Linked DNA regions of Arabidopsis thaliana. The protein of the gene in region 3 interacts with the protein of the main gene of each other region in a pairwise test. Each region holds a gene or a part of one and is shown on either strand. Other genes may lie near its edges.

Region 1 (3,755 bases), on a different chromosome or scaffold from region 3:
TTTGATTCTTTTATAATAAATTTAAACATTATAAATATTTAAACTTTATACTACGGGTGAAATTTTATAATTGACTGTTTGGGTTGATAAGAATTTACGATAGAAGTAGGAGTTAAATCCTAGAATGACAATCAAAATATAATTATACAATTAAATACTACCACGAGTGAAATCCTATAATTGACGAGTTTGAATCGATATTAATATGGGATGGTTTACTACGGGTGATATTTTAGAATTGACTGGTTTGGGTTGATAATAATTTGCGATAGAATTAGGAGTGAAATCCTAGAATGACAATTAAAATATAATTATACAATTAAATACTACCACGGGTGAAATCCTAGAATTGACGGGCTTGATTCGATATTAATATGGGATGGTGTACTACGGGTGATATTTTAGAATTGACTGGTTTGAGTTGATAATAATTTGCGATAGAATTAGGAGTGAAATCCTACGATGACAATTAAAATATAATTATACAATTAAATACTACCACGGGTGAAATCCTAGAATTGACGGGTTTGATTCGATATTAATATGGGATGGTGTACTACGGGTGAAATCCGAGAAACAACAATCAAAATACAATTATACAATATTAAACATTTAACAAAATAAACAAATACAACTTAAAACTTTAAAATTTGAGTTATAAAATTTCGTCTCGCGGTGAATTATACATTTAAATCAAACAATAGCATAAATTTATTAAATCATCCTAAAAATTATTTAATTATTTTTTATTTAATAAAAATATAGGCCCGCGGTATACCGCGGGTTAATATCTAGTAACCAATATTTTTACAGGTTAAATATAAAGAAATAATTTAAGATCACAAATATATTAAAACGTATAAAAAATTTCAAAAGTATGATCTCTTAAATAGAAGTTAAACAACATTAAGATGTGTAATCACATAAATATTTTCAAAAACATGTAAAATGCATTATATGAAATTTCCAAGACAATGATTTTTATATCTAGACATTGTAAGCACGTAAATATTTCCAAAAACACGTGAAAAATATAAAATGTTGTCACGTAAAATTATTAAAACGTTATGAAATAATTCTAAAACATTAAATTGTAAGTAGATAAATAATACTTTAGACATTGTAAACACGTAAACGTTTCCAAAAACATGTAAATATATAGAAAAGCTTGTAAAACACGTAAAATATCTAAAAGCTTATGAAGTTTCAAAACTTCTAAACATTTTCAAAAAATTTCATAAATTTATGAAAAGTTACAACTGTTCGATAAATTATATCACGTTATTATCCACTGATATTCTCAATAGTTAGTACTTTTGCAATACATGTGTTAGGTTTATATTTTTAGAAAAAATCAAAATATTTATTTGTTTAAACCTTTTTGTTGTTTTTATTATTCCTCTTAGAAACTAATAAAATTTCAAAGTTGTGTTGAATTGTTTGACTGGCTAAGATATTTTCTATTTGCCTACATTACCAAGTATAGTTCAAATTCTTAGGAAAATATTTCTTTTTAAAATTGTCTTCTATATTTAAGAGATTTTCATTAAAATGGGATATATAAGGAGATATCATAAGAATTGTGAAATTATATTTGAGAAAAAAATGAAAAACAAATAAAATAAATAAAAAGCTGAAATCTCACTTTGGGCTTTGGGCCGAAACAGATAAACCAAAATCGTCATGTGAAATATGGGCTTAATATTGATCCAAATCAGGTCGGCTAAATTCTGTTATTAATTAAGAAAAACCGCCAATCTCAGATTTTTTAGCAAACCTTTTCCACAATTTCCAGACAGTTTTAGGGTTCCGTCGTTCTTATTCACTCTCGATTCTTCGCTTAGCTTCGTCTTCTTCATCGAAGATTTATCTCTGTAAGCTTCAAAACCTTTTTTTTTTTTTCGATTCGATTAATCTGAGATTATTTCCTCACTCGTTTTGATTCTGAATCAGACAATTCGCTGTGGATCTTCGGGGCGGGCGAATTTCATTGATTTTCCATTGAATCTGCGAGGTTACATATCCGGATTTGTGTTATCGGAGCTGAATTTAGGAATGGAGGTAGAGAAATCCAAGTATAGGAGCGAAGATTTGGATGTGGTGGAGGAGGAGGCTGATTTGAAGAAGAGTCGGCGAGATCGTGATCGGAGTAATGAGCGGAAGAAGGATAAGGGTTCAGAGAAGCGTCGAGAGAAGGATAGGCGGAAGAAACGAGTTAAGAGTAGTGATTCTGAAGATGATTACGATAGAGATGATGATGAAGAGAGGGAGAAGCGTAAGGAGAAGGAGAGGGAGCGGAGACGGAGGGATAAGGATAGGGTGAAGAGACGGTCTGAGAGAAGGAAGAGTAGTGATTCTGAAGATGACGTTGAAGAAGAGGATGAGAGGGATAAACGCAGAGTGAATGAGAAGGAGAGAGGGCATCGAGAACATGAGAGAGATAGAGGCAAAGATAGGAAAAGGGATAGAGAGAGGGAAGAGAGGAAGGATAAAGAAAGAGAAAGGGAGAAGGATAGAGAGAGGAGAGAACGGGAACGGGAAGAGCGGGAGAAGGAGAGAGTTAAAGAAAGAGAAAGGCGGGAACGGGAAGATGGAGAGAGGGATAGGAGAGAGCGTGAGAAAGAAAGGGGTAGTAGGAGGAACCGGGAAAGGGAAAGGTCAAGAGAGGTGGGCAATGAAGAGAGTGATGATGATGTCAAGCGTGACTTGAAACGTAGAAGAAAAGAGGGCGGTGAACGGAAGGAGAAAGAGCGTGAAAAGAGTGTTGGCAGATCTAGCAGGCATGAAGATAGTCCAAAGAGAAAGAGTGTCGAGGATAATGGGGAAAAGAAAGAGAAGAAAACGCGAGAAGAAGAACTAGAGGATGAGCAGAAGAAGTTGGATGAGGAAGTGGAAAAACGAAGGAGAAGAGTCCAGGAGTGGCAAGAATTGAAGAGGAAGAAGGAGGAAGCTGAAAGTGAAAGTAAGGGTGATGCGGATGGTAATGAGCCCAAGGCCGGTAAGGCTTGGACTCTTGAAGGAGAATCTGATGATGAAGAAGGCCATCCGGAAGAAAAATCAGAAACAGAAATGGATGTTGATGAAGAGACTAAACCTGAAAATGATGGAGATGCTAAGATGGTAGACTTGGAGAATGAGACAGCTGCTACTGTCTCTGAGAGTGGAGGTGATGGAGCTGTAGATGAAGAGGAAATTGATCCTTTAGATGCTTTTATGAATACTATGGTATTACCTGAGGTTGAGAAGTTTTGCAATGGTGCTCCTCCCCCAGCAGTGAACGATGGTACTTTGGATTCTAAAATGAATGGGAAGGAAAGTGGTGACCGGCCAAAGAAAGGTTTTAATAAGGCCCTTGGTAGGATAATTCAAGGTGAAGATTCTGATTCTGATTATTCAGAACCAAAGAATGATGATGATCCAAGTTTAGACGAAGACGATGAGGAGTTCATGAAGAGAGTAAAGAAGACAAAAGCTGAGAAGTTGTCCCTTGTTGACCACTCAAAAATAGAGTATGAACCTTTCCGGAAGAACTTCTATATCGAAGTGAAGGATATCTCTAGGATGACACAAGAAGAAGTTAACACTTACAGAAAGGAATTGGAGCTGAAAGTTCATGGAAAGGATGTTCCAAGACCCATAAAGTTTTGGCACCAGACTGGGCTAACCAGCAAAATTTTGGATACTATGAAGAAGCTTAATTATGAAAAGCCAATGCCTATTCAAACACAAGCACTCCCTATCATCATGAGCGGTCG
Region 2 (3,755 bases), on a different chromosome or scaffold from region 3:
GTAACTTACTAGAGCAGCAGTGGCTTCATCACCGCTCCTCTGAGCATCTTTAAGTTTCCTTCCATAAGTTTGCTTGATCTTGTCAAATCCCTCTATAGGGTTAACACCAAGAACCTGAGAAGGTACACACACTCATGTCATGAGAAATACACAACGACCAACAAAACAAGTCCTTTATAGGGCTCTAACGATCAATTACCTCATACGGATTAAAGTCAGCATCAGACTGTGGATTACCAGCCGCAGACGAAGCAGCACGTATCACAATCCTGCTCTGTAACACCTTTCCGAGGGGAAGCCTGAGAATTTCAATCATCCTCATTACAATGATAACGTGTACCAAATGGTCTGATAAGCACAACAATGGAACTCTCTTAAGTGCAATTGAAAGTTGTAAACTTTATAGGCAACAGTAAGAAGCTCATCCACGAATTAAGCCGTCGGAATTCAATTGACAATGTTTATGAAGGAAGAAGATAACGGTTACCCACAAAATCCGTAAGTTTACACAACAAAAAGAACTATCAAACGATGATTCTTCGACTTTAAAGCCACCGAAGAGAAGTGGAAAACAAAAAAGCAGCATCAAGAGAAAGTACCTGACAAAAGAAGGCGATTTGGGAGCGCGAAGAGAGTTCCTGAGAGAAATTTGAGGATGATGGTAACGAAGCGCGTTTGATGTTGAGAAAGCCATGACGGAGGAGCAAGAAGTAGATAGTGCGGGAGCCATGGCAGAGCAGAGCTCTAGTAGGGTTAAAAGGAAACTAGAAGGTTGGTGATTGATGTTTGGAAGCTAATCATTCAATACTCAATAGTTTGTTAAGGCTAAAAACTGAGGCCTGACCAATAGTTCGCGTGGCCCAATGGATAAGGCGCTCGCCTCCGGAGGGGGATATTCTCGGTTCGACCTCCATCGTGAACGAATTAGGTAATAATAAAGACGGCCTGCTTTCTTCAGCCCAACTGATTTATCGGCCCAATCCAGTGTCTTTATTAGTTTGTTTTCGTGGGATCTCTGGTTTACTTACTTGCAGGGATTATCTCCCAATTCCAATCCAAACATGCCACACTTTTCTTATCTCTTTTTCAGATTTCAATCTCGTCCAAGAAATCGTTTAGTACTCACATTCAATTTGGAAATGTTTTTGCATAAATTGGGGTTGGATTTCCTACCTCTTTTTCACTAGATTGTGCATTATCAATTTATGAACTTTTTCTGGAAACATATTAAATTGTAGATCCAATATTTTATCTTAACAAATCTGGATCTGTTGAGAATGTTTTTCTGTAATTTAGAGAGGATTGTAATTGTGTAGTACATTTGATAATAAACTTAAATGTGAATTTTAGACTACCACCAAGTAATTATCATTTCAAAGAACAAACCAAATAGATAATAAAGAACTGTTAGAAAGTAAAATTGTATATAATAAGATAAGAAAAGACATTACAAAGTACAAACCTTCTCCAAGTAAACTTCTAACAAAACAAAAAAATAGATTTGGATTGGGAAATAATATCTAAAATCCTATTTAAAACAAAATAAAAACAAAAAAGATATAACGTTAAGGAAAAGGAAAATACTAGTAGAAAAAAAAAACATGTAGGCATCAAAAGGAATATTCTCAAGAGTTTTGGCTATAAAAAAAGGTAGAGCCGACTCAAGAGGTCTTCTTAACTCACACAAGAACCAACACAAAACAAAAAATATTAAGAAAGTGATATTATGACTTGCAGCCAAACACTCGGAAACAACAACACCAACAAATACCAGATCTGCGAGGAGATCGGCCGTGGCCGTTTCGGCACCGTCTCTCGCGTCTACGCTCCGGCCACCGGTGATTTCTTCGCTTGCAAAACCATCGACAAAGCCTCTCTCTCCGACGACCTTGACCGTGCCTGTCTCGACAACGAGCCTAAGCTCATGGCTCTCTTGTCCTATCACCCTAACATCGTTCAAATCCATGATCTCATCGACACTGATTCGACTCTCTCCATCTTCATGGAGCTCGTCCATCCCTCTGTTTCGATCTACGACCGTCTCGTCTCTTCTGGAACCTTCTTTGAGCCTCAGACGGCGTCGTTCGCTAAACAGATTCTCCAGGCGCTTTCGCATTGTCACCGATACGGCGTCGTTCACAGGGATATTAAACCGGAGAACATTCTGGTAGATCTACGAAACGATACGGTTAAGATCTGCGATTTCGGTTCAGGGATTTGGTTAGGTGAGGGAGAGACCACCGAAGGAGTCGTCGGAACGCCGTATTACGTGGCGCCGGAGGTTTTAATGGGATATTCTTACGGAGAGAAGGTCGATCTATGGAGCGCCGGCGTCGTTTTGTACACGATGCTCGCTGGAACTCCACCGTTTTACGGCGAGACAGCTGAAGAGATATTCGAAGCGGTACTCAGAGGAAATCTCCGTTTTCCGACGAAGATATTCCGGGGGGTTTCATCTATGGCTAAAGATTTCCTAAGGAAATTGATATGCAAAGATGCTTCTAGAAGATTCTCAGCCGAACAAGCATTAAGTAAGATTCTAAAACCATCAGATCTGTTTCTCTGTTGAATTTTTAATGTCAATAAATTTCATCTATTTTTAACAGATAATGTTATCTTATCCACACTAATCCATTTTTTAGTAGGTTGGTTTAATGATAAAGTGAACTAAATTTGGTATTTTGTAATTTTGTTTTGTTGCAGGGCACCCATGGATCCAAAGAGCAGGAGAAACAGAGGAGAGATTCATCTAGAAGATTCTCTCGGAGAAATAAATAAGTGTCAAGTGATAGCTTATCATCTCTCTCGGTGGTTTTTTATCTAACAAGTATGGAGGAGTGTCGGGCATGTAAATTTGGGTTATGGGCATTTTAGATTCCGCCAGCCTACCAACCTAGTAGAAGAGAAGACTCTGGAAAAGACTTTTAACCAAAAAAAAAGGAGCTGAATAATAAAAGAAGCTTGTTTGTTGTGGCTGCTTCTGAGTTTGGCGATGAGTTTTTTTTTTTTTTCTGCATTTGTTGCTTATGTGAATTTTGTTTGGCTTTTGAAAAGTCTTTTTAGGGGTAGAGACGGTAATGTAGAGAGGATAACAAATCTTTTTCCGCCTTTTACGGGTTTTTTTTTCCATGTGGGGTGAGTAAAAGGATGTGAGAAAGCAGAGTTGTACTCCTTTTTCTGCTTTTTTTTTTTTTTAATCAATAAAAATAGTTTATGTTATCCCTAATCTAACACTTTGTTGATAAAGACCTAATCTAACCTTTGCACATATAATTAAACGAAATAATTTTCTCAAGCAATGAAAAATGTCGTTCAGATACTTGGAGAAACCATATCTTTTTTTGTTTTTATTATCTGATTGTTATCCACTCTCTTATATTTAAATAGTACCTTTTTAATTCAAATGTTCGTTTACATGCGGATCCTATTTCAGTGTAGTGTCTTTTGATAACAACATTCCACCGATTTAAAGTTAATGCACACTTTTCGTAATAGATCAACTTTTTTCACTCATGACTATTTGATGTTGAAAACAAGTACGTTGAGGGAAAAACACGATGTACGGTGGTGGGCTAGTTAGGTACGTTTCTTCTGTTTTCTAAAAATTCCCCACATTCCAAAATTTCAAAACTACAGCACTTTTGTTGCAAAGTCAAATTATAAGAATAATCCTCTCAATTTTCTAGCATCTCCGTATGTTATTCTTTGTCTGCACCAAATATATATTGGAATCTTTCAAAAAAGATCAAAACCCA
Region 3 (3,755 bases):
TTGATTGTTCTACAATCTCAGAACTAAGTGAATGCCCTGCAAAATTCAATCATCGAACATGACCTAAGGTAAATGCACAAGAACGGTTGCAGATCCTCAGTGTCAGAATCTATTATCTTTGACACACAAACACAATCATGTGATACATAGCAGATTAACGCATAAACTATGAAGCTCATTAACGGATACATAGCAGATTAAAGCATAAACTACGAAGCTCATTAACGGGCAAGTAGCAAACAGCAGTATCTATGATGCAAATAAGGAACATTCAACAAGATAAAGCATAAGATGAGTACCCACATAACAGAAGCAGGAAGCCAAGCAAAATCAATCATCATCTTCTTCAGTCTTTCCAGCACCGAAAGGGTCATGATTTGGCCCCACCTCTTCTCCCATATGGCGCTGCACAAGCCGCTGCAGATCAGACATAACCTTAGCCTCGCGCTTCGCCTTCTCCTCGTAGTTAAACATGGCCAATGCCCGTTTGTCTTCAGCACTGTAAACCTGGTTTTCTTTTCTAATACGAATAGCATTCATCCTTTGATGCCTACTTCCACTCATCACATAACCAAGATCCTCAAACTTCTGAATCTCTTCAGCGTTAAGACCCACTTCTCCTCTACGTGGGATACGTTTACCTTGCTGAACATACTGTGCAATGGCGTCTCCTTCACCGGGTCTTAAAGCACCACCATAACTGATGTGACCTTCAGCTTTAGGTAATGGCATTGGACCAACATCACCTTCTTCTTCCTCTTCATCAACAGCTGAAGATTTCTTCTTTAATTCAATCATCTCTTTGAACTTCTTCAACTCTTCTTCATCAAGTTCTAGCTCAGTGTTCTTCACCGTTTCGTCTACTTGCATCTTCGAATCTTCCTCAGTACCATCGCTGTCACTCCCTGACTTCGTCTTCTCTCCCTTGCTTCGTTTTGAACTAGAATCCGAAGATTTCTTCCGCCTCTTGCTCTTTGACTTGGTATCTTCTTCCTCCCCAGACGAAGAAGCACTAATCTCAGCTTTACTATCTTCATCGCTGCTCTCATCAGAGTCACTGTATTTCGTCTTTCTCCTATGACTTCGCTTTTTCCTAAAACTACGGCTGCTTCTACTCTTCTTCCTCTTAGAAGAACTCTTCCTCCTTCGTCTCCTATCTTCCTCTTCCGAATCACTCTCACTCCCTTCGGATTCACTATCGCTGTCATAAGATCTCTTTCTCCTGCGCTTAGACCTCGAGCTCTTACTCTTCCTCTTCCTAGATCTCAAACCATCAGATTCAGATTCCGAGTCAGATTTACCTTTCCTTTCTTTCCCTTTCGAATTATCATCTCTTTCGCCGCCGTTCTTGTCCTGAATCTCGTCGGCGTTCTCATCGGAATCCTCGTTCTGATCTCTAGGTGGACTCGGTGTGTTCTCCCAAAAGCAGAACTTGGCTGATTTCCTCATCTTAAGCCGTTTCTGCCTCCTATACTCTTCGTGACTCAATCCCTTCAATTCTTCATCGGAATCTGAACCAGATCGTCTTCCGTTTCGATAATCTCGATCCAAATAGCCATGATTCTTCCCAAATCTCCTCGGAAGCGAGTTCATCGTCATTCTCGAATCCCTAATTCACTCCGACGACGACAATGAAGAAAACAAAATCTAAGCAGCTGTCTGATAAATTAGGGCTTTGATTCATATACAGTATCTGCGCCTTTTTACTTATTGGGCCCTTAACGAATAGGCCCAATATTTATCATTATTCACCACTGAAAATCATGTTTTGATTTTACACAAAGCACCCCACATTTTAATTAGAGTCAATCGAGTCCTCTATCCTTATCGTCGTCTTCAGATGGCAAGTCTCTCCATGTCCGCCGTGTCTCTGTCGCCGTTTCGGCCTCAAACAGAGAATCTTCTTTCAAAACTCAGTTTCCGAACGAACTTACACTCGTTCAATCTCAAACCAATAAGGATTAGTACGAAAGTTAGAAGTTTTGGTGGGAATCGGAGAGAGCCGAAGGATTCAAGATTTGTCGATGAAAAAGGCGTAGTTGATGACATGGAAGGTTTCTTAGACAATCTCTCTCTCGAATACGACTCTGTTTGGGACACTAAACCCTCTTGGTAAATCTCATTTAAGTTCCCAACAATTTTATTTCAAGTAGTTTGGATTTGGTCCTAAGACTTATGAGGAATCGTATTTGTTGGTTGTGAATATGGGATTATAGCTTAGATAGAGTCTTAAGTTCACTTTTAAGTGGACCAATCCTTAATCTTTATTAGCATTTTCAGTGATTTATGCCTGCCCAAGAACTTTTTTGAATCATATATGAAGCTATATATTTATTGATGCTACTTAAAACAAGACTTACCCCATTACAGTTTCATGATTGTGTGTTGTGGTTTAGAAGATAGAAAGAAAAAGTTTGAATCTTTTGGTTAGGAAGATAGTGAAGAACCAAAATACAGATTATGTAATGGTAATTGGGTTAAGAAGGGTTTAACATTTCGACCTCAGCATCTACAGCTTTGAATATCTATTGATCTGGTGTGTATTTGCAATCAAGAACTTTACGGTTCTTCTTAGACGTTTTCAGGGCCTAGTGTTCTTCCGTATGGTTTTGAATAAGCAACTGGCTATGTTTCTCAGGTGTCAGCCATGGACGATAATGTTAACGGGTCTATCAATAGTGGCATGTAGCTGGGTAATACTACACTCGGTCATAGTTTCATCGCTTGCGGTTGGTGTAATTGGTGCTTGGTGGTACATATTCCTTTATAGCTACCCAAAGGTATGATTTTCCCTTCCATCATCTAACAACCTCTCCTTTTCATTCCCTTACTAAAGAAATGTTCGTAGCTCTAATTTACTAAGTCTAAGTTAAAGTAAAAATCCTGTTTAAACATCTTCAGACAATGCTAGTTTCTATAATCTTAGTGAACAAGACTTTACTTTGGTCTTGTCTTTGAGATTCTGGTGGTTTTTTCGTGTACTTTGGTTCAGTCGTATTCAGAAATGATTGCTGAAAGAAGGAAACGAGTAGCTGATGGTTTTGAAGATATTTACGGCAAAAACAAGCCTTCATAGGATCTTCTCAATGTTCAAAATTACATTCGTTTCTTGCATAAATCTTCCCTTCTGTTGTGTGTATAATATAACCATCATCTATGGATTTATCTCAATTTCATTCACAGATGTTTGGATACATAAATCTTGATTTCAGAGTCCTCTAATGTAGTGGGCATTAAAATCGAATTGAACCGATTATACAAACCGAAATTAACCCAAATATACCGAAACCTCATTACTGAAACCAACCGAATAAAGTGCCTTCGAACTAAATAAACCAAACGAACCGGACCAATTTTAGTTCAACAAAATCGACAAATTCAAATCGAACCGAACCGAGCCGAAGAACCACCAATACGAGAAATGAGGAATGAAGGGTAAAAATGTAATTCCCAAGAGGTCATGGTCAACGGAATGTATATATATGTAACGGTGAGAGATTCATTGAGATCATCTCCACTCTGCTAAATCCGACGAGAGACGACGATGCCAAGCGGTGGTAACGGAACAAGTAACGGAGTCGCTAACGCGAATTCCACCGGTAACGCAGGAACAAGCGGAAACGTTCCGATATATAAGCCATACCGTCACCTGAAAACCCTAGAAGGTCACACGGCGGCGATCTCTTGCGTCAAATTCTCCAACGACGGCAATCTTCTCGCTTCCGCTTCCGTAGACAAAACCATGATCCTCTGGT

What was found.
Region 1: the proteins of AT4G02720 (region 3) and AT1G20920 interact in a two-hybrid assay, tested with the Arabidopsis thaliana proteins (one study listed by BioGRID).
Region 2: the proteins of AT4G02720 (region 3) and PPCK1 interact in a two-hybrid assay, tested with the Arabidopsis thaliana proteins (one study listed by BioGRID).

What each region holds. Positions count from the first base shown.
Region 1 is NC_003070.9:7,283,287-7,287,041, forward strand, and holds the start of AT1G20920 (P-loop containing nucleoside triphosphate hydrolases superfamily protein), read left to right. Parts: upstream 1-1,755; 5' UTR 1,756-1,874; exon of another isoform or gene 1,875-1,953; 5' UTR 1,954-2,055; coding exon 2,056-3,755. UniProt on the Arabidopsis thaliana protein: Helicase required for pre-mRNA splicing, cold-responsive gene regulation and cold tolerance.
Region 2 is NC_003070.9:2,750,480-2,754,234, forward strand, and holds PPCK1 (phosphoenolpyruvate carboxylase kinase 1), read left to right. Parts: upstream 1-1,644; 5' UTR 1,645-1,726; coding exon 1,727-2,531; intron 2,532-2,645; coding exon of another isoform or gene 2,646-2,671; exon of another isoform or gene 2,672-2,696; intron 2,697-2,703; coding exon 2,704-2,753; 3' UTR 2,754-3,330; downstream 3,331-3,755. Other genes in the region: CJD1 (Chloroplast J-like domain 1), read right to left, coding at 10-114, 200-299, 600-730; AT1G08645 (uncharacterized protein), read right to left, coding at 1,334-1,351, 1,463-1,528, 1,772-2,116.
Region 3 is NC_003075.7:1,204,215-1,207,969, forward strand, and holds the start of AT4G02720 (Ras-induced vulval development antagonist protein), read right to left. Parts: upstream 1,679-3,755; 5' UTR 1,600-1,678; coding exon 331-1,599; 3' UTR 1-330. Other genes in the region: AT4G02725 (spindle pole body-associated protein), read left to right, coding at 1,841-2,112, 2,639-2,780, 2,993-3,076; WDR5b (Transducin/WD40 repeat-like superfamily protein), read left to right, coding at 3,545-3,755.